Linked DNA regions of Bombyx mori. The protein of the gene in region 2 purifies or fractionates together with the protein of the main gene of each other region. This does not show direct contact. Links are inferred from orthologs where the notes say so. Each region holds a gene or a part of one and is shown on either strand. Other genes may lie near its edges. The genes, in order: ribosome biogenesis protein WDR12 homolog, pescadillo homolog, probable ATP-dependent RNA helicase DDX27 and nucleolar complex protein 3 homolog.

The links.
Region 1: the proteins of pescadillo homolog (region 2) and ribosome biogenesis protein WDR12 homolog purify together in Homo sapiens (co-immunoprecipitation; 7 studies listed by BioGRID and IntAct, counting the BioPlex papers as one, with this or other methods). This does not show direct contact. The link is inferred for Bombyx mori from reciprocal best matches to the Homo sapiens genes PES1 and WDR12.
Region 3: the proteins of pescadillo homolog (region 2) and probable ATP-dependent RNA helicase DDX27 purify together in Homo sapiens (affinity purification with mass spectrometry; 4 studies listed by BioGRID and IntAct, counting the BioPlex papers as one, with this or other methods). This does not show direct contact. The link is inferred for Bombyx mori from reciprocal best matches to the Homo sapiens genes PES1 and DDX27.
Region 4: the proteins of pescadillo homolog (region 2) and nucleolar complex protein 3 homolog purify together in Homo sapiens (affinity purification with mass spectrometry; 3 studies listed by BioGRID and IntAct, counting the BioPlex papers as one, with this or other methods). This does not show direct contact. The link is inferred for Bombyx mori from reciprocal best matches to the Homo sapiens genes PES1 and NOC3L.

What each region holds. Positions count from the first base shown.
Region 1 is NC_085114.1:8,372,638-8,380,466, reverse strand, and holds the start of ribosome biogenesis protein WDR12 homolog, read right to left. Parts: upstream 4,810-7,829; 5' UTR 4,517-4,809; coding exon 4,458-4,516; intron 4,386-4,457; coding exon 4,086-4,385; intron 3,975-4,085; coding exon 3,834-3,974; intron 2,616-3,833; coding exon 2,440-2,615; intron 2,111-2,439; coding exon 2,046-2,110; intron 1,149-2,045; coding exon 1,004-1,148; intron 745-1,003; coding exon 643-744; intron 1-642. Other genes in the region: WD repeat-containing protein 75, read left to right, coding at 6,392-6,495, 6,745-6,952, 7,593-7,829.
Region 2 is NC_085116.1:5,443,296-5,451,032, reverse strand, and holds pescadillo homolog, read left to right. Parts: upstream 1-2,787; 5' UTR 2,788-2,990; coding exon 2,991-3,014; intron 3,015-3,092; coding exon 3,093-3,326; intron 3,327-3,416; coding exon 3,417-3,788; intron 3,789-4,413; coding exon 4,414-5,137; intron 5,138-5,515; coding exon 5,516-5,721; intron 5,722-6,010; coding exon 6,011-6,286; 3' UTR 6,287-6,321; downstream 6,322-7,737. UniProt on the Homo sapiens protein: Component of the PeBoW complex, which is required for maturation of 28S and 5.8S ribosomal RNAs and formation of the 60S ribosome.
Region 3 is NC_085126.1:9,620,905-9,628,168, forward strand, and holds part of probable ATP-dependent RNA helicase DDX27, read right to left. Parts: intron 7,009-7,264; coding exon 6,867-7,008; intron 6,280-6,866; coding exon 6,179-6,279; intron 5,916-6,178; coding exon 5,723-5,915; intron 3,517-5,722; coding exon 3,365-3,516; intron 2,833-3,364; coding exon 2,749-2,832; intron 585-2,748; coding exon 457-584; intron 1-456. UniProt on the Homo sapiens protein: Probable ATP-dependent RNA helicase. Component of the nucleolar ribosomal RNA (rRNA) processing machinery that regulates 3' end formation of ribosomal 47S rRNA.
Region 4 is NC_085113.1:12,523,324-12,530,587, forward strand, and holds part of nucleolar complex protein 3 homolog, read left to right. Parts: intron 1-621; coding exon 622-742; intron 743-917; coding exon 918-1,131; intron 1,132-2,535; coding exon 2,536-2,724; intron 2,725-3,762; coding exon 3,763-3,944; intron 3,945-4,964; coding exon 4,965-5,170; intron 5,171-5,969; coding exon 5,970-6,148; intron 6,149-7,264. UniProt on the Homo sapiens protein: May be required for adipogenesis.

The DNA.
Region 1 (7,829 bases), on a different chromosome or scaffold from region 2:
TAAGGTTTTCTTATTGGCATTAACGGGCAAACCAGCTGGAAGATCTATCGAACAATGAGACTGTTCTGGTGTTCAAAATACCATTTTTCTATACAAATACATACTAAACACAAATCAATATCATTGACTTCAGCTTCTTTTTAACATTTTTTAAATATTTTGATCTGTCTAGACATTGTTATGTTGTACTTTGGGAGGTGTTAAAGGAAAGCGTCTTCTTGCGTGTATTCCATGTTTAATTATCATCTTAATCCTAGTTTACAATTATGAAGAAGCCTATGTTTCTGGGTGGTCCACCTTATTAGGTGGACATACGAGATTACACCTATTAATTATGTTATATGCTAATACTATGCTATGCTATAATATATCAATATACACACTTCAACATATTACTGTAGTTTTTAGAAGAAAAAAATCATAGCCTGTGTGTGAGGTTTCATAGGCAGAGTATATGACTGAAGAATAACATTGGATCATTAAAAATATATATATTTCCGTAATTACATGGAAGATCCAAGGACAATATGAAGAAATATACACATTTTGTACACAAGTAGAGACATACTATAAGAACCAGTAATATTCTTTAATTTACTATTAGCTAAAATTAAATTCCGAAAATAATAATTCATAACTTACCTGTAGATCTAGGGTCATATAACCGGACATGTCTATCTGCTGATGCAGTAATAATGCTGTTGTTCAGAGGTGACCAATCAACATCAAAAAAGGCCTTATTACCTAGAAAGTTAAATGTAAATATTGTTTGAATACCAATTAGAGAAAAGGACACAGAATTTGCAAGACTGCACTTTGACCATGACCACCAGAATTTATTATATTATGCCTACTAGCTTGAAGATCTGTTGACCCTGCTACATCTAAATCATTTGTGAGAAGTCTTCTGTTTTTAATTTCTATATCATTTAAAGCAAAGATTTAATGAATTTCAGAAATGTTTTTCATACAGGTTTAAAATTTCATGGCAAATTTAACATACCAGCAATTTCTTGTTTAATACCACCCAAATCACAGTCCCAAATTTTCAATAAGTGGTCCCAACCACTGGACAGTACTGTGTTGTAATCCATCCATTGAACACCCGAGATAGCCTCCTTGTGTCCTTTTAAAGTGGTCAGTGGATTCTATAAATTTAATAAGTAAAATTGGAATCATATTCATTCATTATCCAAGCAACATTTCACTTCATTGTTTAAAAAAATCAAACTGTTTTACCAATTTAATTTTTTTAAATCTGCACAACTTTTAACTATAGTAGAATTATTTTGTCCGTGCAGTTTGGGTCATAAAAAATCGGAGCGGTGCAGCGAGTATTTCGCTCTCTCTTCCACTCACGAGCCTTATGGGCGGGCGTAGTGATGCGCATTATTGTTGTCGATAAGTGTTGTCGATAAGTGTTATCGATAGTGTATTTAGTTTTGTCATTTTGTGGGTTAGTGATAAAAATGAAGAAAAAATCATTAATCGAACACTTACACCACATATCGCCGCAGCAAGTTAACGAGAACGGCAGAAATTAACACTTTGTATCTTTTCGGGATCTATTCTCATTACAGTGAAATTTTTTGTATGCATTGTTGATATAACACGTGCTTGTGCTGGTATATTTTTGCCAACAAGCAAAATATTTAAATAAATTCTGCCGTTTTGGTACAAAACAAAGGAGTAGCCATTGTGCCACTAAAGAAATTCAGAGAGCGAATGCAAAAAATCACATTTATTTTCGACATATGTACTATAATTTGCAGGTAGGTACAACAAATGACTCATAACATAATGTCTCACCACCCTTCGTAAACCACCCCACCTCCGTGTACCTGCCTTCGATGACTCATTTGTTTTTATCGATAATGGCGTTGCTCCCGCGCAACATGCTCGCCGCCCTAGCCAGGCTATGTTTTATGACCCAAACTGCACGGACAAAATAATTCTACTATAGTCAATTGAAAAAATCAGTCCTATAATATCTATTATACACAAGTATAGGTGTTATAGGACTGCTTCATTCAATTCATACTCACTCTAGTGGTGCCGTGTTCTGGTTTACTTTTCTTCGTAGCTGGATGGTTTTCTTCTTCTGCTAAGCCTAAATTGGGTAAATATGCATATTTTATTTATTATGTACATTCAAAAAAACTAATTTAAAAATAACAACTAAACCAATATAATACACATTTGATTTATTCTCGAGGACCACATAGCTGTTTTTCCACTTGTCATCTCAAAGGAGACCTATAATATAGCTGTACAAACATTGCAACTAGGGTTTAAATCGATTCAATATATTTTTTTATTGCTTTTGTAGGCAGACGAGCATACGGCCCACCTGATGGTAAGTGGTCACCATCGCTCATGGACGTCAGCAATGCCTTCCAAAAGTCCTTTCACTTAAATTATTATTAAGTATCTACTCACTTGCACTCCAAAGACAAACATTGTTATCCCAGCTCCCACTTGCAAAACGGTTACCATCAGCCGACACAGACAGGCATTCAATTCCCTTGTCGTGGCCACGGTAAGTGATCATACAGTCAACAGAATTTCTAGGTACATTCCATACCCAGAGTATTGCTGTTTGATCATGAGATCCACTGAAATCATACATACCTACATATCATTTTTACTGGTGGTTGGACCTCTTGTGAGTCCTCACGGGTAGGCACCACCACTCTACCTATTTCTGCCGTGAAGCAGTAATGAGTTTCGGTTTGAAGGGTGGGGCAGCCGTTGTAACTATACTTGAGACCTTAGAACTTATAGCTCAAGGTGGGTGGCGCATTTACATTGTAGACGTCTATGGGCTCCAGTAACCACTTAAAATCAGGTGGGCTGTGAGCTGGTCCACCCATCTAAGCAATAAAAAAAAGTGTGTGTGTCCGCTCCGACGCACGACTGGAGTTTACTGGATATAAATATAAATTTGTGTCAGTTGAATACAGTAAAATATGGAAGTTACGTATTCTAGTGAGAATGATCCGGGAGTTGCGGAACACGTGGATGCGGTAATTAAGTAAGTCTATATAATTCACTTTTACAATTAATATATAAGTTGTCCATTCACTGATAGAAGGAATTGTTTATATTTAATAAGCTTTATTAATAAATGATTTGTAGCGGGTTATATTCGGGTATCAACCCACTAACAGTTGATACGTTCAGGAATCGAACCCGAACGGCGTCCGGCCACAAGCAAAACGATGTCGGTAAATTAAACGAAACAATACGAGAAATAGTTCTATATTACGACAACACGATACACTACAGATTATTAACAAATTAACGAGACACAAAACAAACGACTAACAAATATATGAAAATACAATAATGAGAGAAACGCGCGATCAGTACGAGGCTTTGTGGCGGACTGCCGGCGCAGCAGCCCGGCGTCACCTGCGATAACGCGGCCGCGCGTTGGCTCCTGATTGGCGCGCGCACGCATCACCATCAGCCAATCAGGCGCATAACGCATTTCGTGTGACATGCTATACTCTCTAGTACGATTTTGGTCCCCATAATTTTCATACCCCGGGCCTATATATGTAAATCGATTCTTAAGGAGTAAACTCCAAAAATAAAAAAAACCTTCTGTATACATCTTCAGGATTTAATTATTTTTGTCATTCTATTTATGATAAATTATCTATTTTAATTTTGTCAGATCATAACTGCTATGCTATATCTGTAGTATACATTTTTAATATACTAACTAAATAATACTGAGATACATTTAAATTTAACTTAAATTTGTCAATGTGACATGTTTTTATATCAAATATTTTTATCAAATTACTATCTATTCAATTTCTCACCTAACAAATGTAGCTTGATCACCCTGGAAGGACACCCATGATACTGCTTTTACTGGTGATGTATGACCTGGTATGGCTAGTTTGTGTTGTCCTTTTGTGCTCCATATATGTAAGCTATTGTCATAACTTCCTGATAGAATCCTGGATGAAATGAGATTTGTTATTTTACACATTATTTTGTAAGATTTTACATTTAACTTTTATTTATATAAATAAATAATTTGATTTTATCTAAATTTGTTTTCATCTTACCAACTACTGTGTGCCTGAACAGCTGACACCCAATCATCGTGCATTAAACAGTCCTGTGGAGTTGGTGCAGGGAACCTTTCCAAGTATTCGACCTCAAGCGTGTCCTCTGTCGATACCCCTTTTTCTTGTAAGTGCTCTGCGAGGGAGGCACAAAGTAACTCTCCACATACTAAGAAATCAAATATTACCGCCTTCTCGAACGATGGTGAGGTCTCCTTCAAAATTGCGTTGATTAAGGTATTAAGGTCCGCAGGGTGTACGTTACACTGGATAGCGTAAGGACTATCCGGAACTGCATATCTGCATAAAATATAGGCGGCTTAGAGCGAAGTACTTTATTGGACCACATGTCAAAACAAGTGCAAAACTTACTGTTCTTGTTTAGTTATAAATCTAACTTGCAATTGAGCTTCTAAAGCATCGCCAGACATTTTGTACTACAATATTTTAAGTTGTGTTAAAGTTTGGTATTGATATAAATGAAGACTACACAACCTGAAATGACCTGAATCTAAACTAATAACACGCCGGATTCTCATTGACAGTTTTCAGTTTTCACCAAACCTGACATCTGACAGTAGTAGTTCCACTTTTCCAAGTAAAAAGGCGAAGGTATCCTAAATTTTTAACGTTACATCCTAATCTTTTGTATGTTGTATATTTTATTCTCTTTCATGAAAAATGATATGGAGTGAAATGAAGTGAAGTTGATTAATTTGAGATATTAATCTAGACTTGCGCAAAACATCACTTGCCAATGTAATGTGATATGACATCACTTTTACGGACAGGTGATATTACTCGAAAACATTACACATCACTCTTAACATTACTCGGTGCGTTCAATAGATACTGTGACGACGAGTACATTGTATCTATACACCCGAATCATTACTTAAGTGATGTGTATGAACACATCACTTAAGTAATGATTCGGGTGTGTCATTACAGTAGTGTATTACAATACAAAGTATGAACTTTGTATTGTAATACACTGTTATATTACTTGACAGAGATTGACTTACTTAATAATATAATAATTTTATTTTTTACTTAATATAATTTATTGTGGGATGAACGGATTTCATATGGCGACTTAGACTGCAAATTGAGCTCGACAATAATGTTAATATACGAGAGCAGTAGATGCATTGTTTCGGCGCGATATCCTCAAAGTGCATCCAAGGAGGACTGTACTTTCATTTAGACGCCGTTCTTTCTTTCACTTATTAAACACGCATTAAAACAAATAATAAAACTATCTTCATACAAGTGCTTAAGTAATTCAAACACAGAAATTAATATGAAATATTACTAAACAATTACGAGCGACTAGCGATTTTACAAAAGTTGCGAATTAAAAATTAAGTAACTACTTGCGGGGAACTACTGGCTGGCCGCATGAAAAATATAAACACAAATACCTATATTAAAATTCAGACGTACCATAGGTATAAAAATGTACCTAGCGGCCAGGGCATACGGTTCAAAATCACTAGGAATAATTCCATGTCGCTTGCTCATTTATTTTGGTCGATCGGTCTGTCTCGCTCGCTCGGTTCCGTTCGTGTATTAAGCAACATTACACGACAAAGAAAGAAACATATTGAGTGATAGTGTGATGTTTGTTTCCTTCGCGTAATGTGTGATGTTGCATTACATCGTAGAGTAATATTACCGGAGTAATATCACTCGCATTACTTACACATGTCTATATTAATCAACTGAGATAAAATTAAATGAAGCAAGTTAATGTGGAATAAAATATAATCTCATTAAAATGTTGGTTATTTACAGAAACTTTTTCAGTGGACTTGTTGGAAGATTCCGAAAGGCTACATCCAACGGCTCTGTTTCGTTTTCCTACATTTATGCACTTTCACAGATTCTTAATAGCTTATAAACCTTCGTCATTACTCATTTCAACCTGAAGAAACATTAAATTAACAGCTGAATCATGGGTCAAACACAGAACACTCATAAGTTTTGAGCTTGATATAGGTACACTTTGTAGTACACTCTCTTAAATAAATTCTCAGGTAACGAATAACGAATGCCCAATTTTGACAAGTTCTTCAAAATTACTTCCTACAATAGATGTAGTGGTAACCACAACAAAAGTAGTAGTAGACTAGCTATTTACCTTAATTTTAAAGGAGTTAAATTTTCCCAATAATTATTCTTTTGCCACAATAATTCTCTTTGTTAAAAAAAAAAGGATTGAGGTTATGTCAGGCTCCATCAAAGATAGATGTTCTATTTGTTTACATTGCATTGAAATGAATTTAATATAAATATTTCACAAAATGGTCGTTAAAGTAGATACAGCCAATAAGCTAAAATATTGCCTTAAAAGAAAAGCGGGTAGAAGTATTATAGAAAGACGCCCAATATTTTCTCCGGACGGCGAGTAAGTAAAACAACACATTTATATCCACGATGTTAAAATGTTAACAGAGAATTCAAAATCTTAATATTAATGAATAGATTAAATGAATTGTCCATAATATTCAAACAATTATGTTATTACAATTTAGAATGCTCTAAAATATAAGTATAATTTTTTTAACCTATGAGAACAGTATGTTTTAATCTGCATAGATCAAAGCTGCGCGTTCTAAAGAAAAAGCATTAAATTGGCGGCTTATTTATGTTATAGATCAGTGGCAGTAATAGTAGAAGATATAGTGCATGTATACAATGTACAAACATGCGAACTAGTCAGGACCTTAGAATCTGAAACTCCCATTGATGGGTTTGTTGGAATAGAATTTCCCCAAAATGAAGATTACAATTTATATGGTTGCTCTAAATCTGGACTGGTCACAATATGGACGTGGGACAAAGGAGCAGTTCTCAGAGATACTGTAAGTAGAATTGTTACAGCTCTGGTAAAATAAAAATAAGTTTTCTGTGCAGCGTCAGTCTAGAATATGACTACTCCAACTCTTTCCATTAGTATTGTAAAAGGTAATTAGTGATTGGTAATCACCAGCTGGAATTTACTGATGGCTTAGAAAATGTAAGCCTGTACTTAAAGGAATCTGCATATGCTCCGCCTAGTTGTCAATGGCTACCATCACTCATGGACATCTGCAATGCCAGGGGCATAGTCAAGCTGAGCAACCTACCATTGAGTACTCACCGCAAACCATGAAGAATAAGAAGGAGAAACCATTTAAAGAAAGCCATGCTTAAGAAATACTGTGGAGAGAAGTACATTCTAAAGCTGGTCGGTCCATGGCAAGATGCCATAGTTCTAGGTAGTGTGTAGGTGGGTGGAGGCATTTATATTGTTAATGTCAATAAGCTTCAGTAACTACTTAACACCAGGTGGCTGTGAGCTTGCCCATACATCTATGCGAAAAAAATGCATGATGGGATCAGACATTCCTCATCTCAGATAACTTGTTTATAAATTAATAACAATTAATATAAGTGCTAAAGAATAAACAAGTTTTTCATAAACATTTAAGTTTATATTTTTATTATAAATTTAACTTTCAGCATCTTCAAATACCTGCAAATTTAATAGTACTGACATTTGATTTAATAAATGAAAATGAATGTTTTATAACTGGAGCTGGTGGTTCATACTCAAAAAACATACATTATGCATCATATTCAATAAAAACTGGTGAATTACTTTGTGAATACGGAACTCGGATATGGAATACTCAACCTTTGATAAAGGTTGCTCTCGGTTGGAACAACGATGACAGATTTGCTGCAATCTGTAATGGA
Region 2 (7,737 bases):
ATCAACCGAAAAAGTTTACGGTAAGGTAGGCCGAATGTTTAATCGTTATTAGAAGTAAACTATTATAGCAAGTAATTTAAAATTAATATAAATAATTATTAACAATACGCATGATCTCCAAAAAAGTCAAGATGCGACTAATTAATAGCACAAAGGGGTTAAAGGTACCTTCATTTTTAGGATCACAAAATTGTCCAAACAAAATATGACATTTTAAATTAATCCCTTGAAATTCTTTGTAATTTCTGTAATTAGAATGATAAACTCAAATCATAGAATTGAATAGTATTCTGATGATTTTTTTTTATCGGGAAGAGATAAATGAAATGCAACATATAAAGCATGCAAAGCAAAAAATCATCTTTAAAATGAATTATCTCGTATGCTTGAAGAGATAGAACATGACGAACTGATAACAATCGAACGTTAACGTGCTTCGTGCTTAAATTAAGATTTTTTTTACCATCTAATTGATTTTAATATAAAATGATTACAAAACCCGTTCAGTTCAAATATATTGATACTATAAAAGGCAACGTTCAGAAAACCAAAATCATTAAATTATTCTAGCACAATGCTTAAAGTACTCAGTATATTAATAGTGATTTACTCGTGTGTTCAGGGTCACGTGACTCAACGAAACGACCCGAATCAACTCCATCCAGTACATGGACTCTATATCAAGCCTTCGGTCGACGGATCTACGGGAGACCTTTACGTTGCCGCGACAGAAGAAGATGGAGTCAAATCGCAATGGTTGACCGATGCATCCGTCAACTTCTTACCAGCCACAGCAGCTTCACAGAAACACGAAACTGCATTTCCGAGCCCCTTCGCTGCAAGCTATCCTCATGAAGAAACTGTGAACAAAAAAAAACAAGCTGGAGCCCCGGTCCAGTACGCATATGCGGTGCCAATGACAACAGCACCAAATGAAGGCACCTCACCTTATCCATACGCTCTACCGGTCAGTGCGTTTCCGTCACAAGCATCCGAAAGTTTAATTCCGTGTTTGGATCCTGCTAAAGCGAACATTCCCCAATATTCTCCGTTTCATTTTTTCTATCCCCAAATGATGTCTGCATATACAAAAGCAATGAGCATTTTAAAGGAGGCTGGTGTTAATGAAGATACTGCCAACTCTGTGATGCCAACACCGCCGATGTGGTCGCCTTATTCTTATCCTATGTACGTAATGATGGATCCTAGTACATGGACCAAAAGTCAAGGAACAACTCCTGCTCCTAATACTAAGAGCGAAAATAAATGATTTTGGATTTTAATATTATTTAGATAAATAAAAAAGGATTAATTTATAATATTATGATAATTATTAAATAAATGTAACTGGATTATATATTTTCTTATTAAATAAAAATTCTCAAGATGAACCTTAATTAAATTAGATCTTCAGTCGAAATGAACACGGGAGCAAAACCTTTGCTAAGTTACGATGATTTTTTTCTTCGATGAACGTTTTCTTTGTAATTATTTTGTATCTTAAGTTCCATGAGAAGTTATCTGAGGAATAGTTCCAGTTTTTTTTTTTTTTTATTGCTTAGATGAGTGGACGAGCTCACAGCCCACCTGGTGTTAAGTGGTTACTAGAGCCCATAGACATCTACAACGTAAATGCGTCATCCACCTTGAGATATAAGTTCTAAGGTCTCAGTATAGTTACAACGGCTGCCCCACCCTTCAAACCGAAACGCATTACTGCTTCACGGCTGAAATAGGCAGGGAGGTGGTATCTACCCGTGCGGACTCACCAGAGGTCCTACCACCAGTATTTACGCAAATTATAATTTTGCGGGTTTGATTTTTATTATCCGATCTTATTCCTTCATCGTGGAAGTCAATCGTGAACATTTGTTAAGTACGTATTTCATTAGAAAAATTGGTACTCACCTGCGGGATTCGAACACCGGTGCATATCGTTCAACACGAATGCACCAGAGGTCTTGTCCTTTAGGCCACGACGACTTCAAAATTCTGATGATGATTCCGCGAACCCCATTTAGCCACTGCAGTGCCCGCCACCGTAGCAAAACTCACACATATCACCGACCTGGCAACACTCAATTCAACATTTGTGATCTTTTTATCACAACACCATGCGGCTCTGGAATGAAATCCCTCCTACAGATGTGTCTAAGGTTTTGCAGCATATATCCTCCTTCATCAAACGAGACTCGAAAAGAGTTGTTTTGTAAACATTACAGAAGCTCGGCTAAGCCACTGGGATTATTCATATTTGTGAGCATCGGTGACGACTCGGTGATCTAATAGGCCGTGTGCTCATCTGTCTTCTAAGGTAATAAAAGGAACAAATTTGTGCACTTGCAGCAGCTTCACTGTGCCCCTGGCGTTGCCGACCTTCATGATATTTAAGCAGCTTGTAGTCTTTACATTCTTTGCGGAAATCTTTAATATTTATGGGATTGCGTAGTTTTATTTAAATAATATCTCAAACATATTTTTTCATACATGTAGTACCGAAATAGAATACGACCGAAACCGATCAGAAGATCCGGTGAGTAACTTAGCGAGTTGATGTTATGGGTTAGATTTCATGGGTTTCAATGGATTAGATTATCGGGGTCCCTATGCCTGTTCTTAGCGTTAGAGTTTCAGGCGTCTGGTAAAAATGTGAGTAGACCAGCTAGATCTTGAAGGATGTCCTCTCGTGTCAAGCGTCATCATCATAAATCACCTTCACCTCATTTCATCCTTATTATTTTCACTTATCAGAATGTTTAATGTTTAGACTGTATAATGTGATACTTTTGCCTTTTCTGTTGGAAAATGGAACTACTACTACTGTCAAAAATGTCAAAATGCTGTTTGGATTTTGATTTGATCTCCAAATCTCCATTAATCTTTCTAAAATGTGCGAACTTGTGAAATAATAATAGACGCACATTCAATATTTAATACAACCAAACAAAAAACCTTTACATATTACTTTCTGAACAAGGATAACAATCACAATGGTGTCCAAAAAGAAGAAGAAGGTGTGTACTTACCTATAAATCGAACACGTGTTTTATGTTGTCTTCAAAGATCCTAACCAACAAATATTTTATTTTTAGTATTCTTCCGGAGAAGGAGCTCAGTTTATGACCAGAAAAGCAGCGCTTAAGAAACTACAACTATCCTTGAAAGATTTCAGACGTATTTGTATTTTGAAAGGAATATACCCCCGAGAACCTAGAAACCGAAAGAGGGCTCAAAAAGGTGCAGGCGGAATCAAAACACTTTATCACACTAAAGATATAAAATTTTTACTACATGAGCCAATAATATGGAAACTGAGGGAACTAAAGGTAAAAAATATGCCAAAAGTAGCAATATAAGTAATACTTTAAGTTTATTTTCAAAATTTTGTTAAAACTTACAAAATGACTTAATTTTAGGTTTATCAACAAAAAATTCGTCGTGCAAGAGCACAGCGAGAATATGGCAAGATGAGAAAGTTTTTGCGGGACTATCCAGAAATAAACATTGATCACATAGTAAAGGAAAGATACCCCACGTTTGTTGACGCTTTGCGAGATTTGGACGATTGTCTCACATTGTGCTTCCTATTCAGTACTTTCCCATCATTGAAAAAAGTTCCAAGAGACCAATCATTCTTGTGCAGAAGACTGACAGTTGAATTCATGCATGCAGTAATTGCTGCTAAGGCTCTACGTAAAGTGTTTGTATCGGTTAAGGGATTCTATTATCAAGTTGAATTTGAAGGACAAACAATAACATGGATTGTTCCACATCATTTCTCATTCCAGGTACTTGAATGTTTATTATATAAGTTTTAACAAACATTAAAAGATGATCAAAAATATTAAATAGATACAAAAATGTACTAAAGAAAAACAAAAACATTAAAACTTGCCTCTACAACTGTTAAGTGGTCATATGGGGTCAGCACTTATATTCATGTTCTGGGTGGGACTAATCTAGATACTGAAAGCAAAAGCTGCTCGACATAATAATATACTTGGTTTCATTTATTAACTGTGATAGGGTGTCTTGTGAACCCACACTAAGGTACCACCATCTTGTCTATTTCTGCCACATAGCCATAATGCATTTTGATTAGGAAGGCAAGTTTGCTATTGTATAGTAAACCTGAGACTAAGAACTGTTGTCTCAAGGTGTATGGTTGCATTTATGTTGTTGAAATCTGTGGGCTCAATAGAAAAGAGTTAGTATGTTTGTTCTCTTTACATTCCTAAACCATTTATTTCATTCTGTAATCATTCACACTAGGGAAGATTTAGGTCATAGTGCTATCTAGATATATATATACCTTAGGTGGCATGCAGTATTTCCAAAACACTGATTTTTTTTCTAGAATTAGTGGAGTGTGACTGGTGTTCACTAGTATTTATAATTGGTTTTTTTTAACAGCCACAAAGCAAAGATGAAGTAGACTTCAAAATTATGGCGACATTTGTGGAATTTTACACTATGATGCTTGGTTTTGTGAATTTCAAGCTGTATCACTCACTGAATTTAGTTTATCCGCCTAAACTCCCTATTGGTTTCTCTTCTGAAAAAGACAAAGACCTTATTGACGAACAATCATATGTGTCAGAACGTATAGCTGCTATGAATATTTCACCTGCAAAAATTGAAGGATCAAATGAAGTTGAAGAGTTACCAGAAATTGACATATTTCCCACAGAAGATAATGATCCCCAAAAACTAGAAGAAGCCAAACTTGAGGCAGAAAAAATTAAAAAGCTAAAAACATTGTTCAAAGGGTTAAAGTTTTACATAAATAGAGAAGTACCCAGGGAACCCTTAGTATTCATAATTCGCTGCTTTGGTGGAGAGTGCTCATGGGATAAAGATCACTTTGTAGGTGCAACATTTGATGAGACAGATGAAACTATTGCCTACCAAATAGTAGACAGACCAAGTATGGATAAACAATACTTATCGCGATACTACATCCAGCCGCAATGGGTTTTTGACAGTGTTAATACAAGAACTTTGTTGCCAATCAATAAGTACTTGATTGGTGCTATTCTTCCGCCTCACTTGTCACCATTTGTTGACACTATAAAAGATCAAGTATACATACCACCAGAAGAAAGAGAGCTTAACGATCCAAACTTCAAACCACTCAGTAAGAATATTTCAAACAAATTTTATCTAATGAAATATGCTAATCTTTTTCAGTGTTGGTTTTATTACTCCAAATAGGTAGACACAAAATTTCAATATAATTATGACTGATCTCATATCTCATGGTGGGTGGGTGCTATTTACATTGTGATATTTTTTTCACTTTAAACCATGTGGGCTGAAAACTTATATGCCATTTTTATATTCAGTATTAATATATTCAGTCTTAAGTAATATTTTCATTTATATCAGCTGGCAATAAACATATCAATGGTTAATTAGAAAGCTTGCGCCATACATTGTTTGTGCATAATATAGAAGGTACAGCTCAATGATCTTAAAATTAACCATTGTCATTTAGTGATATTTATTCAAACAGATGCAGATTCTTCTGGAAGTGAAATAGAAGAAGCCAGTGATGAAGACAAGGAGGAGCAAAATGAGCCCGACTCTGAAGATAGTGATGCTGAAAGAGCTATTACTAAGCAATATCAGCAGGAGGTTGATGAAGATTCATCTCAAGATGAAGAAGAAAATGATGATGATGATTTGGACCCTGAGAAAAAGAAACTGGCTAAAGAGAAGGTAAAAAAAATCCCACTACATAATATGAATGACTATAATTTTACTATTGAAAATCAGAATTTTCTATGTTTTCTACCTTGATTTTATTCAGTTTGACCTAATTTTGATAATGTTCAGTTTTATTAATATGATTACAACTTTTTTATAAATAATAACGATAACTTAGAACCAATTTTTTCTTATTAATGATAAAAATCTTAGGTTTCATGTGAATAGAAAAATAAATCATTATAGGAGATATAATATAAGTTTGATAGTAAAGAATTTATATATGATGGGTTATTTTCAGAAAAAATCAATGAGGGTAACGACAGGTGTAACCCATAAAGAACATCCTTATCAAAAAGAAATAGAAGACAAACAGGCATTCCGGTTACGCGAGAAGCTAGTACGAAAGAAGCACCGCAATCTGTATAAAAGTATGAAAGCAGGTCAAGAAAAACGTAAGAAGGAAATATGGCTGCTTAGGAAAAAACGTCGCCTTCACGACGAGAAGATCAAAGATGAAAAGAAGGCAGAAAAACGGAAACAAAAAATGCAAGCACTAGAAGCTACTTCTATTTGAGATTTATTAATAAATACTATTTTCAACAACTAAAACTTATTTTAATTTTAAATATGTACAAAATTTTTGAGGCATAACAAAGAAAAATTTTGCTATTATGAAAACAATATAACAAAAATGTCACGAAAAATGATACTTATGAAATTAACACTTAAAATAATTAACTATAAAATAACAAGTAATTGTTAGGTTTCATACAAAACAGGTTAATAAAAAACCTACTCATTAAAACAAGTGTACAATTTCTTCATTAGAAACTGCAGTGATCCATTGGCTTCTTGTGCAATTTAAATACAGATTACGTTAAAATTTACTATCCTAAACAAGTATAACGGTGAAATGTCAATTAAGGAATTCATTTTATAATGATAAGCTAATCAGAATCATTTTCGCTGTCTTCTTCAGCATCACTGTCTTCAAGTTCCGGCATAGGAAATCGCAGGACTGCAGCTATACCCGTCAATTGATCTAGCTCTGTAAGAATATTTATATGATCATAATAATCGTGACAATACTGACATGACTATTTTCATTTTATTTAACAAATTTTCTTACGTTCCCCAGACACATGCATACTAGAGAATATTCTAACATCTCCACCATTTTCTCGGACAGAATCTACAAGAGCAACATACTCTTTCCGCTTCAATGTATCTTGACACCTAAAGAAGTGAAAAATATATGTTATTGAATATGCAATTTCGAAAAGGGCACATCTCTGGAAATGTAAAATGTTCAGGAAATGAAAAAAAAACTATTATTTTCTAAAGTAGTGTAAAATTTAAAATATTAACTTTTGAGATATATTTTAGTGTTAATTAGCAATTGAAAATTAGTGAAATTATTATAAAATGGGTGTAGGTAAGCTTCAAAACTACATCTATATGAAAAAACGTATTTGACAAAATATGCGACATGTGCCCTTTTTGAAATTGCATATTCAATTATTTTATTATTAAATTTCACAAATTCAACTACCTAAATCTATCTTAACCGACATAAGACAAGATCAGCTCACAAAAAATACAATTTCATTTAATGACTGGATTTATTAATTAATAATAACAATCACCTGAACAATTTATCTGAGATCATGAGTGTTTCAATTGCAAGGGCCTCATTAGCCCTCATTACATGTTTTTTTCCATAGAACGCTTTTGAGGGCTCTAACTGCAACATTGTGTAAAAACTTTCCAGTAATTTTACTTCACTTGCAGCCTTCGTATCTGATATTTTTGCCATTACTGCAGGTTCTTGTAAAACTTCTAAAAAATTAAATTATTATTTGCAATTTTATTGCTATTTTTCTAAGTTACTACCTGACTTCATAATATGTGCATGTATTCATGGAGGAGAATATAAAATATATTATTTTTCACCAAATGTGAGCCTACATGGTAGTGAACGGTTACCGTCGCTCATGGACGCCAGGAACATGGAGCCAGGCTACT
Region 3 (7,264 bases), on a different chromosome or scaffold from region 2:
AGTGCGAGTTAGCTTAATCAGAGCGTAAAAGTTAACTCATATTTGTATGGAGTCGAAACGTTTGCCTACATTTGCCGCTAGGGGCGCTGTTCCAACTGTATACAAAATTGTGTTAACTTTTACGCTATCGAGAACGTTAAAGAACTCGCACTAAGCACACTGGCCACAACAATGATACTGAATGACGACCACGACCGCTCTGACAAGAGTGATACGACAAAAGAAAGAGATGTCGAAGAAGAAGAGAGCAGTAATGCATTTCGGTTTGAAGGGCGGGGCAGCCGTTGTAACTATACTTGAGACCTTAGAACTTATATCTCAAGGTGGGTGGCGCATTTACGTTGTGGATGTCTATGGGTTCCAGTAACCACTTAACACCAAGTGAGCTGTGAGCTCGTCCACCCATGTAAGCAATAAAAAAAATTAACACATTACTATTAATTCTTGTCTCCGTACCTGTCAGCTTCGTCCAGCACCAGAACCTCGATGCTGTGGAGCCCGAACGAGGGTGTGTTCCGTATGTGATCGATGAGCCGACCCGGCGTCGCTATCACTATGTCGGGGTTCTGACGCAGCACGCTTTCCTGTCGTCCATTGATGTGGTTTTAATGGCACGTCTAACAATACGCAGCCTTCAAGTTGTTAGAAACTGATTGCATCGATTACTCCGGGCTCGATTCCCGAGCGTATACATTTTCGGAATATGAGTCGTCTATTATCAAAGGTGGCAATCTGTGCATTTGGACAAAAAAATGTTATTGATATGTCAATACAGATTGATTTGATTTGGAGTCGTCGTGGCCTAAAGGATAAGACATCCGGTGCATTCGTGTGTAGCGATGCACCGGTGTTCGAATCCCGCAGGCGGGTACCAATTTTTCTAATGAAATACGTACTCAACAAATGTTCACGATTGACTTCCACGGTGAAGGAATAACATCGTGTAATAAAAATCAAAAGCGCAGAATTATAATTTGCGTAATCACTGGTGGTAGGACCTCTTGGGAGTCCGCACGGGTAGGTACCACCACCCCGCCTATTTCCGCCGTGAAGCAGTAATGCGTTTCGGTTCGAAGGGTGGGGTAGCCGTTGTAACTATACTGAGACCTTAGAACTTATATCTCAAGGTGGGTGGCGCATTTACGTTGTATATGTCTATGGGCTCCAGTAACTACTTAACACCAGGTGGGCTGTGAGCTCGTCCACCCATCTAAGCAATAAAAAAAAAAAAAAAAAAATTTGAATATAATCGTCTCCTTCAAATAATACGGTTCAAAACCTGTATTAAATAAAGGTTAATACTTAACCTGTTATTTATCTAAGATGTCGTTCAGAAGAGTTTTGTGACTGCCAATGGAATACAAAGTCAATAATTCGTTTTTCTGATTTACCAATAATTGTCCAAAAGTCACATTGCCGACTTTGATAATAGTCGACTCATATGTAACACGAAAATAATCCTATTTTTTCCTACTTAAGCTGAGAGCCTTGAGAGGCTGTTTCAGCGTAACCTTAACTAGTAGGTGAGCTCACAGGGCTCAAACCTGACGACGTTGCTAACACTGACCCTAGCAAGAGCCGTGCTTCGCGGAATCTACCACCGGATCGGAAACGCGACCCACTGAGAATATCCGGCGAGAAACCCAGTGGGCTGTGTCTGAGGGTTGGAAAAATAATCCAATTTAAGGCCACTGCATGTGTACTCTAGTTTTAAGATAGATCGGATCTTAATTTGCCTAATACTAAACACAAGCGGCCCGCTCCGGCTTCGCTCGGGTCTTTAACAAAAATTGCAACGATATTTGACGTTGTTTTATTTTTTTAAATAAAAGAACACTTAGTGCGGCATAGCTATAATAGTTAGATATAATATACTGTCGCGACACTTTTTGTAAATAATAATATGTTCTACAAAGTCGTAGTACATTATTATATTCTATCATCAATACTTTTCGCAGAGCACGCGATGTAAAGAATATTTAAGGTAATTTTTTTACACTTTGGGTTACATTATTGGAGTTTTAGTAAGGATCCCTAATTTTGTTCAAAAAAGATTATTGCCCATGTCACTCGGGAATAGTGTAGCTTCCAAACAGTGAAAGAATTTTTCAAACCGGTTCAGTAGTTTCGGAGCCTATTCGATACAAACAAACAAACAAATCTTTCCTCTTTATAATATTAGTATAGATGAGAACATTTTGAAGTCGTCGTGGCCTAAAGGATAAGAGGTCCGGTGCATTCGTGTCGAGCGATGCACCGGTGTTCGAATCTCAGGCGGGTACCAATTTTTCTAATGAAATACATACTTAACAAATGTTCACGATTGACTTCCAAGGTGAAGGAGTAACATCGTGTAATAAAAAAAAAACGATCAAAATTATAATTTGCGTAATTACTGGTGGTAGGACGTCTTGTGAGTCCGCGCGAATAGGTATCACCGCCCTACCCATTTCTGCCGTGAAGCAGTAATGCGTTTCGGCTTGAAAGATGGTGCAGCCGTTGTAACTATACTGAGACCTTAGAACTCATATCTCAAGGTGGGTGGCGGTATTTACGTTGTAGATGTCTATGGGCTCCAGTAAGCACTTAGCACCAGGTGGGCTGTGAGCTCGTCTACCCACGTAAGCAATAAAAAAAAAGTCTAAAAAACACTTTAAAATATTTTATGGTGTACACATAGACAGGAACGGTGTACCATCCCGCGCAGACCACAAGACATAACACTAAAGAATGGTATGGTATTCCCACCTGATATTTAACATCTAATCCTCCCACAGACAGACCCACAGACACCGATGAGAACTGAGCCAGTTGTCTTGTGACTGCATGGACCTGTAACCAAGTTCTGTTTTAACAAGCAACATCACCAAAAAAGCATTCTGAAAGTTTTTTCTAGTATTCTTACTATATCAGACCACTAATAAATATTATTTGAATGTAAATTTAATTACTTAGAAAAATAGATAAATGAAAAATACAATTTATTTACTATATGACACGCAATGAACGCGCAATCCTCGTCGAACCCGTTAACCCACAGACACAGCCCATTGAGTTTCTCGCCGGATCTTCTCAGTGGGTCGCGTTTCAGATCCGGTGGTAAATTCTGCGAAACACTGCTCTTGCTAGGGCCAGTTTTAGCAACACACTCCGGTTTGAGCCCCGTGAACTCACCTACTAGTTCGGTGAATCTAGAATAACCCCTCGAGGTTACTAGAATAGGAACAAAAAAAAACAATAACATGCAAAGACCAAATGCGCACCCGCGAGTTCGTTGACCCAGCCCATCAGCTGATTTTTGATTACGTTATATGACGTAATTTCTCAATTTTTTAAAATTAATTTGAATAAAAAATATCCTGACCTGAGCACCAAGTTCTCTAGTTGGCACAAGTACCAGGACCCTGGTGATCCGGTCCCCTCCTTTCGCCTTGTACAGGAGACGCTCCAGTATGGGCAGCATGTATGCAGCCGTCTTACCAGTGCCAGTGGCGGCGCATGCGCATACGTCCTTACCTATATCATATGTCATATAATTAATGTACACTATATTACACTGTACTATATTATAATGTACACTATACTTAGTCTGGCCATAAATACTGTTACAATTAAAAATAAACAAAATATTACATTTCAATTTGGAATCTGTCATTTTTATATGATTGCTCATTGAGTTTTCTCATTTTGGCGCCAATACATTGTATAATATTTTGCGATATTAAAATGGAGTGGAGTGATAAAGAGAACCGAATCGCTGTGATTGCATTACACAAAGTAGGTATGGAGCCAAGTGCAATTTTTAAAACTCTCCATACGCTTGGTATTAGTAAAATGTTTGTGTACCGGGCTATTAATAGGTGCAATGAGACCTCCTCTGTTTGTGACAGAAAAAGATCTGGCCGTCCACGTAGTGTTCGTACGAAAAAGGTGGTCAAAGCAGTAGGAGAAAGAATTCGAAGAAATCCTGTCCGAAAGCAAAAGATTTTATCTCGGGAGATGAAGATAGCACCTAGAACCATGTCGCGTATTTTAAAAGATGACTTAGGACTTGCAGCCTATAAGAGACGTACTGATAATTTAAAAGAGAATAGGGTGGTAAAATCGAAACAACTAATGAAGCGGTACGCAAAGGGAGGTCATAGAAAAAATTTGTTTACGGATAAGAAATTTTTTACAACGGAGCAACATTTTAACAAACAAAATGACCGTATTTATGCTCAAAGCTCTAAGGAAGCTTCCCAATTAGTCGACAGAGTGCAACGTGGGCACTATCCGACTTCAGTGATGGTTTGGTGGGGTATTAGCTATGAAGGAGTGACTGAGCCATACTTTTGTGAAAAAGGTATCAAGACATCGGCACAAGTGTATCAAGATACCATTCTTGAGAAGGTAGTGAAGCCCCTTAACAACACCATGTTCAATAATCAAGAATGGTCCTTCCAGCAAGACTCCGCGCCAGGTGATAAAGCTCGGTCTACGCAGTCTTAGTTGGAAACGAACGTTTCGGACTTCATCAGAGCTGAAGACTGGCCGTCGTCTAGTCCCGATCTTAATCCGCTGGATTATAATTTATGGTCAGTTTTAGAGAGTACGGCTTGCTCTAAACGCCATGATAGTTTGGAGTCCCTAAAACAATCCGTACGATTGGCAGTGATAAAATTTTCCCATGAAAAGAGTGCGTGCTTCTATTGATAACTGGCCTCAACGTTTAAAGGACTGTATTGCAGCCAATGGAGACCACTTCGAATAAGCTTTTTATACTTTAAATTGTTTTATATTTATGTATTAAACTAACACACTGTAAAAGTAATAAATATTTTTTCCTTTGTAACAGTATTTATGGCCAGACTAAGTATATAAGATGAATTTTTTAGTTAAAGAAGCAATTTTTTTAATTTTAGATCGTTATTTTAGAATTGAAAGAAGAAATATTTCAGCAAGTTTTTCAAATTACAACAACACTAAAGAAGTTTTCACCTCAATAAGCTCAAAATTTCAATTTTACTTTACAAATGCATTTTCGCATTGAAAGTTTCTATTCCGGTTTGAAGAGAGGAACTGGTATTACATAATACAGCGGAGACTGTAACCTCATTATCAAGTATAACTGCATTTATTTTGTGACGTCTACAGAGGCTCCGGTGACAACGTAACATATGGTGGACAATCCACAGCACATCTACGTAATAAATTAATAAAAATGTTATTGCTTGTAGCGGTCTTACAACGCAAGATAATTGACAGATGCCTGAATCTCGCTTACGACATTTTCAAAATAAAGCGCATATATACAAGTTCCGAACAACAACATTCGGACCGTCGGTCTACCGAGCAACATCACCCGCTCGGTGGAAGATCTTTCCTTTGTCGTAAACCTACATTGCTTCATGGAGTCCTGTGTCCAGCAGGGAACATCTTTTTTTATTGCTTAAATGGATGGACGAGCTCACAGCCCATCTGATGTTAAGTGGTTACCGGAGCCCATAGACATCTACAACGTAAATGAGTCACCCATCTCGAGATATAAGTTCTAAGGTCTCAGTATAGTTACAACGGCTACCCCACTCTTCGAACTGAAAGGCATTACTGCTTCACGGCGGAAATAGGCGGGGTGGTGGTACCTACCCGTGCGGCCTCCAAGAGGTCCTACCACTAGTAAAAATATCTGCAGTAATGATAAGCAACCATCCCTACTAAGTGTGTGAGGTGCGAGCCTTACCTAAAAGTGCAATAGGAATGGTTGCGGCTTGTATGGGCGTTGGGTGTACAAAGTTCAGAGAGCCAATAGCCTTCATGAGAGGTCTGGATAGATTCATGTTGTAAAACGAAGCGTTTTCATCATAAGGAGGTGGCTCCTCGAAGAAATCCGAGTCATATTCAATTTTTGTTCCTTCTTCACCTTCTTTTAGTTCCTAGAACATATGTTTTTGATACAAAACACTGAATAAATTAATTTAAGGAGATTCAGTCATGGCTATGTTAATTGGTCATCTGCTGAATTTGGGGTTTTTATGAAACAGGATCCCTAACTCTTCCCTGATTGATATCAACTATGGACCTGTCTACATTTTTTTTAACAATTAATCATCTTGATTTAAGAGAGGCGGAGCAAGTAATTTTTATTTTGTTTGATTGTACAAACAGATAGAGACCATTAAAATGCTTTTTTCATTACCTGTTCCAATTTCTTTTTTTTACTAATTTTTTTTTCTTTAATTTTTATATGATCTTTCTTCAGTTCATCATCGGATATTTCCAATTCATCGATTTCTCCATCTGTAAAAGGTTTAATATCTTTGGTTTAAAATCTATTGTTAATTATGTTACATCTTTTAAATTCCAAGGTATAACCTCATCAGAAGAAGGACATCTCTTTTTTTTTTTCATTCCTTAGATGGGTGGACGAACTCACAGCCCACCTGGTGTTAAGTGGTTACTGGAGCCCATAGACATCTACAACGTAAATGCGCCACCCACCTTGAGATATAATTTCTAAGGTCTTAAGTATAGTTACAACGACTGCCCCACCCTTCAAACCGAAACGTATTACTACTTCACAGCAGAAATAGGCGGGACGGTGGTACCTACCCGTGCGGACTCACAAGAGGTCCTACCACCAGTAATTACGCAAATTATAACTTTGCGGGTTTGATTTTGATTACACGATGTTATTCCTTCACCGTGGAAGTCAATCGTGAACATTTGTTAAGTACGTATTTCATTAGAAAAATTACCTGCGGGATTCGAACACCAATGCATCGCAACAACGAATGCACCGGACGTCTTATCCTTTAGGCCACGACGACTTACTTACTTATGATCTATATCTCTTTAGCGAAATACGATAAGTTGTGTCTTCAAACCTTTATCTTCGACATCTGAATCAGTCTCAACAGAGTCAGCATTTCCATGGACTTTGACATGCGCTCTACGTTTCTCAATCTTCTCATCCAATGTCCTTTTTACATTACGACGTACATACTTGTGTAAGTCATCCCAAGTGTTCTGGAAATAGGTTTTAATTTAATTTTCATTCTTTTTTTTACGTTATAATGTAATTTTCAATTAGGGGACATTTAAAACTATGTCCCTAAAGATACCTTTATGGCTGCAGGAAAATTTACTTCATTAATAAATTTAGTTTAAAAATAAAAAGTTAAACTAAAATAGCAAAAATATAAATAGTAATATTGTGTACACAATTAAACCAGTCTTTTTTCTACTTATTTTTTTCTATAGTATTTATATATATATATATTTT
Region 4 (7,264 bases), on a different chromosome or scaffold from region 2:
CCAGTTCTTCAGCTACGTCTTAACTACTGATATGCCGATCTAGCTCCACTTTTTCAAAAATTGATGCCATTTTGACCGTAATAGGGCGACCAGAGTGATGTGCATCTTTGACATCAAAATTTCTGGATTGAAAACGCTTAAACCAAATTTGTGCTACTCTCACAGACACTGCACTAGGTCCATAAACATCGCAAATTTTTTTCGCGGCTTGTGTTGCATTCTTACCTTTTTTGTAGTAAAATTTTAAAATGTATCTAATTTCTTCATTAGATTCATTCATCTTGACCGTACGAAAAATAAATAAAAATCACACATCTTCCTAATTTGTCTTCTTAAAAAATTTAAACTTTTAATGATACCAAAACCAGCCAGATACAAATAGTATAGCCAAAGAGATTTTATTACAAGTTCATACATACTATAATGCGAAAAGACTTTTCTACCCAACCTATTATAATAAAATCCTCGAAATAAGGTCGTGTACAGATTTTTTGACACTCCCAAGGAATTGGTTAAACGAGTGCTATATACATCATGAACTGACCTTGAACTGCCGCAGTGCGTCGGGAACAGATGTGCTGGTGGATGTACTGGAATACTGATGATATTTTTGTTGCGCAGTAAAGAAAGACACTCTCGCTTTGTACAAATACGAGAAAGAGTTGTTGGAGATGTATAAGAGGTACCTGCAGAGACTGGAGAAGGCGGCTGCGGTGCTCAGGAGGAAGAAGGGGGACACGAGGTTAGTTCTTTTTTTTTATTGCTTAGATGGGTGGACGAGCTCACAGCCCACCTGGCGTTAAGTGGTTACTGGAGCCCATGGACATCTGCAACGTAAATGCGCCACCTGCCTTGAGATATAAGTTCTGAGGTCTCAGTATAGTTAATTCTGCAACGTAATGATAAAATATTCCCAGGAAACCGGAGGCGTGGTCCCGGGAGCTAGGCGTGCTGTCGGTGCGCTGCCTGTGCGGGATGCTGGACGCTCGGCCCGGGTTCAACTACTCCTCCAACATCGCGCAGACCCTGGTGCCTTTCCTGGACTGCGCCGACCCGCAGGCTCGCGGCCTCGTCACCGACTGCTGCGCCAACGTGTTCGCTCACGACAACAAAGGAGAGATCACCCTCGTCGTGAGTCCGATGTTGATATGCCCCGGCGCGACCCCCCGCCCCCAACACCTCTCGCCCCCAGCACCCCCAGGGCGTCTAACAGTTTCTTTCTGACTCAAAAGACCACAGTCTGTTGTAGCCAGCGCCAGTCACTCGTGCAAATCGTTACCTCATGTTGTGCTGTACATCTTCACGGCTACACACAAAGGATCTTGGGCACATGTATGACTCTGCCTTAAAAATCTATATATACAGGGTTACAGGTTAAGTCGACCTATTCCCGTTAAGAGCGTGTAGCTTACATCGTTTCTGACTGATTTGACTATGAAACACCCTACCCTAAATCTAACCGATCTGGAGATATTTCAATTTAATTGTTTTTTATAAAAAATACCCGATTTTCAGGTATCAGCTTAGATATTTTGAAATGCGTAAGTCTTAATATTATTATTACATGATTTTTACTTGTAAAATAAGATGCTGTATGACCCCAATAACAAATATTGTACGTAAAATGAATAAACAAGTCGTTTTAGACGATTACAACTTATAAAAACGAATAAAAAATTAGAAAGATTATTTTTCTTTCAAGGATATCTTAAAAAAATATTATGGCGCCTGTTTGGCAGATGTGCTCAACAATATCTACGTTTCGTCAGCTATCCAACAAGGTATAGCAATCTAAAGTTTTATCAAAAATTTGTCGAAAACACTTAGTTTTATAGGCTACAGGGGAGGCTAAATAAAACAAGTATGTACAAGATACTACATTTATTAAACTTTCAAGTTCCAAAAAAACATCCTAAGGTCTAAATTTCATGTCATACAGCATCTTATTTTACGAGTAAAAATCATGTAATAATAATAATAAGACTTACGCATTTCAAAATATCTAAGCTGACACCTGAAAATCGGGTATTTTTTATAAAAAACAATTAAATTGAAATATCTCCAGATCGGTTAGATTTAGGGTAGGGTGTTTCATAGTCAAATCAGTCAGAAACGATGTAAGCTACACGCTCTTAACGGGAATAGGTCGACTTAACCTGTAACCCTGTATATAAAAATAAATTGCTGTTCGTTAGTCTCGCTAAAACTCGCGTACGGCTGGGCCGATTTGGCTAAATTTGGTCTTGAATTATTTGTGGAAGTCCAGAGAAGGTTTAAAAGGTAGATAAATATGAAAATGCTCGGAATTAAATAAAAATAACAATTTTGTTTCCCTTTTATGTGACGACCCCCGTCGGACGGATTCCTTTTGGTTTGTTTTAAGTTTATTTTATGCAAAAGTTTAGGTCTTTTATTTATCGATTGAGGCAATACGAAGACTGGCGGGTCAGCTAGTTAGAAATAAAATAGTTTCTTTTCAAATCAGTACCGAGACCGTCGCTCTGCCAAGATCAACCCTGACGTCACGTGTTTCAGATAGTCAGGCTGATCAACCAGCTGGTGAAGAGGAGGGGCGAGCGGCTGCACCCCTCAGCGCTGGACTGTCTCCTCTCGTTGAAGATAAAGGACGTCGATATAGACGCCGAAGCTGACATCAAATTCAAGAAGAAACAAGACGAGAAACACAAGAAAAGGATCGTTAACCTTTCTAAGAAGGAGAAGAAGGTGCCCGCGACGGATTCAATGATCATGAAATCTATACTACGACGCTTGAAAAGCAAACGTAACTAAGCGACAATGCGTGAACCTTACAGTAGACTAATTAAAAGTTGAAATACCTGAGAAAAATTATATTTTAACGAATCTATCTGTAGGATTGAAATGATTCTAATAGACCTAGATTATTTTTTTTTGCGCCTCGAATATGGTTATTGCCTATCATTTATGTATAAAGCAGTTATTGTCGCTTAGTCACGTTTGCCTTTCAAGCGTCGATACTAATATTATAAACCTGAAGAGTTTGTTTGTTTGAACGCGCTAATCTCAGGAGCTACTGGTCCGATTTGAAAAATTCTTTCAGTTTTAGATAGGCCATTTATTGAGGAAGGCTATAGGCTATATAACATCACGCTAAGATAAGAGCACCAATAAAGGATGTTTCAATTCAAATGTGTTATTCAAAAATATTTTTACTTTCTACGTAAATGAAGTCGCCGGTAAAATTTAGCGTTAAGTAACTATTCCACGCGGACCAAGTCGCGGGGAAAAGCTAGTTTAATATATAGTGAAACTAGCGACCCGCCCTCGCTTCGCTTCGGAAACCGTAATTTATTATTGATTTCTCCACTATTTAATGGAGGTTATTATACATATAAACCTACCTCTTCAATCACCTTATCTATTTAAGAAACCGCATCAAAATCCGTTGCGTAGTTTTAAAAATTTAAGCATACATAGGGACAGAGAAAGCGACTTTGTTTTATACTACGTCAGCGGTCGGGGAACCGGGGTAAATTACCCCAAATGGAGTAAAATGAAATTTTGGGGGTAAAAAGCATATATTAAATTGAAACTTCTTTAGAATCGTTAAATTTATTGTTATCAAAATTATCATGGGGTCTATAATACGAAAGACACTAAAAAGAAGCGATTTCGTTTTTTTTTTTTTTATATTTTGGGGTAATAATTAAAAAAACTCCCCGACCGCTGTACTATGTAGTGATGATGTTCGTTTTTGTGACATCACCCTCTTCTGTCCCGCAGCGAGCCAAAAAGCTAAAGGAGGTGGAGAAGGAGCTGCTGGAGACTCAGGCCCAGGAGGACGAGGCGGCGCGGAAGCGGCAACTGACGGAGGTCGTGAAGACGGTCTTCCACATCTACTTCCGACTGCTGAAGAGTGCGCCCTCCTCCAAGCTCCTCGTGGCCGCGCTCGACGGCATCTCCAAGTACTGTCTACATACATACGCATCTAATATAGTTTTTAATTATTTATTCCAAAACTAGCTGGCCCGGCAGACTTCGTAGTGCCTCAATCGATAAATGAAAGACCTAAACTTTTGTATAAAATAAACTTAAAACAAACAAAAGGAATCCGTCCGACGGGGGGCAATCCAAGAAAAAAAAATATCATATTTATCTACCTTTTAAACCTTCTCTGGACTTCCACAAATAATTCAAGACCAAAATTAGCCAAATCGGCCCAGCCGTTCTCGAGTTTTGCGAGACTAACGAACAGAAATTTATTTTTATATATATAGATATAGATAGATAATAATCTTTGGTTACTCGAGATTGTTGAAATAAACGATATCCAATATTTGTTAACACGCTTTTATTAGTTTCATACGTATGTTAGTATGTAACGGAATCTTTGAACATGATTTTGACCCCCTTCAGAACGTTGGATAACACGAAATTTGGCATACTTATGAAGGATCGATGACAATTCAATATTTTAAACAATTTGATCCGTTATCTTTACTAGGATAATCAGGATTAGCGATTTTTTGTTTTCCTGAGACCCCGAGTGTCTGCGTCAAGATCAAGAAGGGAAACTACCAGGCGCGCCGATCACCTATTTCTCGGATAAGTTATCGACAATAAATCAGATGAAATTATTGAAAAATTGAAAAATTCATTTTTTTCAATTCGAATTCAGTTTCGGTTTCGACTATAAAATGAAAAAAAAATCTTTAAAAAAAAAAAAAAAATATGCTTTTATGGTATCAATAAATATAGATATTTTTATAATATCCTGAAAAGCACCCCATGCTTTTTTTTACAATAAAATATTTTTTTCTTACACTATTTTTAATTTAAATTTATTAATTTATTTATTTATTAAAATTTATTTTCTATTTTTAGTGGGATTTTCTAGAAAAGTGTATTTTTTGTAGTTTTTTTAAACCATTATTTATCAATTCTAAAGTATCTGTTGTTGAGACTTCCGGCGTGTGGTTTGTCAGGTTCGGGCACGTGATCAACCTGGAGCTGTACTCGGACCTGGTGCGCGTGTTGTGCGCGCTGCTGGGGGCGGAGTCCCCCCGGGGCGCGGGGCTGCGGGCGGCGCGCTGCGGGCTGGGCGTGCTGGCGGCGGCGGGCGACGCGCTGGCGCTGGACCCGGCGCGCTTCCACGCCTACCTCTACGCCAACATGCTGTACGCGCACGCAGGTGACGTCACCCCCCTTATGTGTCTCAATACTGAGAACTCATTATTCTTCAAATTTACGGCAAGTTTCTTAAATTTTGCTGAACTCGATAAACAGTCGTCTGGTGACATGGTCACTACACAAGGGGGTCACGGATTCGAATCCCGCCAATGGAAGATATTTGTATGATAAAAAAAAATGTCTTTTCCAGAGTTAAGGACGTATGTATATTAATTATGTGTATATGTATAATAAAAATCTTACATTGATCTCCGTTATCTGGTACCTGTAACACAAGTTCTTTACGAATTTATCACGAGACCAGTTAACGTGGCGTGATTGTTAGTTAATATTTATTTATTTATTTACTATTGATTTTGTTACGTTTGACGTAATTCGTGGTTAAAGTAAGTGAGGTAGCTCACTGTATAACAGTATACTGCACATTCGATAATTAATCACATATGACGTCATCATTTGTCATTGTCGACTTCCAGAAGGTATTAATAATATTAATGAGTAGCCGTACTCACCTGTTTCGCTGGGCATTTAAAATTAACATTATTATTAGGGAGTCCAACACTCATATAAATATTAGCCTATCCATTACATGTATTTTCTACATGGATACCAAGTTTCAAGTCAATCGGATGCACGGTTCAGTAGTTATAACGGACCATCCGTAAAAACCACTGTAGATTTATACATTAATATAGATATTATACCGATTTATTGGCATAGTACATTGCGTCCTAAGCTTCAGCCTTTAAGGCTGGGACTAGAGTGGCGGAGTCTGTGTTCAGGTGTGTGTCCCCCCGCAGGCGGCACGCAGGACTCCGCCCCCGTGGTGCTGGGGGCGGCGGCGCAGGTGTGCGGGCGCGCGCGGCTGGTGCCGGGCGCCGTGCTGCAGGCGCTGGGCAAGCGGCTGGGCACCCTGGCGCTGCAGCTGCCGCCCGCCGGAGCCCTGGCCGCGCTGGCGCTGCTGCACCGCCTGGCCACCGTGAGTCTACCGCTCATCTAATTTTAAGCTACGAGGGTTTTAGTCGATGTGAAACATTCCAGATGGTCTGTATCACAATTGGAATTGGCTGCTGGAATTCTTCGGACAAATTGCTCGTAAAGAGGGTCACAATCTAGGATGGTCGGACCAAATACGATCTTCTCTAAACATCAACTTCCACAATGCCCTTCATGAAGCTAAGGATCGCAGCAGATGAAGGGAAACTGTACGGGAGAAACTGATGCAGCGGGGGAGTCACGACCCTCAGTAATGAGGAAAACGAAGCGAGGAGGAGGAGGACTATCGCAATTACGGCACAATCGTATTTATAGTAAAAATTAAAACTAGTAGAATTATTTTGTCCGTGTAGTTTGGGTCATAAACCATAGCCCGGCTAGGGCGGTGAGCATGTTGCGCGGCCGCAACGCCATTATCAATACAATATACAAAACAAATGAGTCATCGAAGGCAGGTACACGGCGGCGGGTGGTATACGAAGGGTGGTGAGACATTGTTATGTTATGAGTCATTTGTACTTATTTGCAAATTATAGTACATTATGTCGAAGAGAAATGTGTTTTTATGCATTCGTTCTCTGAATTTCTTTAGTGACACAATGGCTACTCCTTTGTTTTGTACCAAAACGGCAGAATTTATTCAAAATAATATTTGCACGTGTTGTTATCAACAATGTGTTAAACATTTTCACTGAAATAAGAATAGATCCCGACAAGTTACAGTGTTAATTTCTGCCGTTCTCGTGAATTTGCTACGGCGATATGTGGTGTAAGTGTTCGATTAGTGATTTTTTCTTTCATTTTTATTACTAATCCACAAAATGTCAAAACTAAATACACTATCGATAACGCTTATCGACAACAATAATGCGCATCACTATGCCCGTCCATAAGGGCCGTGAGTGGAAGAGAGAGCGAAATAATCGCTTCACCGCTCCGATTTTTTATGACCCAAACTGCACGGATAAAATAATTCTACTATAGTCAATAATATAATTTGCGGGAGTTGCCGCCCCTTTCAACATGTCCTCCGCCTGAAGAACAATAGATGAAAGCGTCGCCATCTTGTGTCTTTACCGCTTCGACAAATAAGATGCGC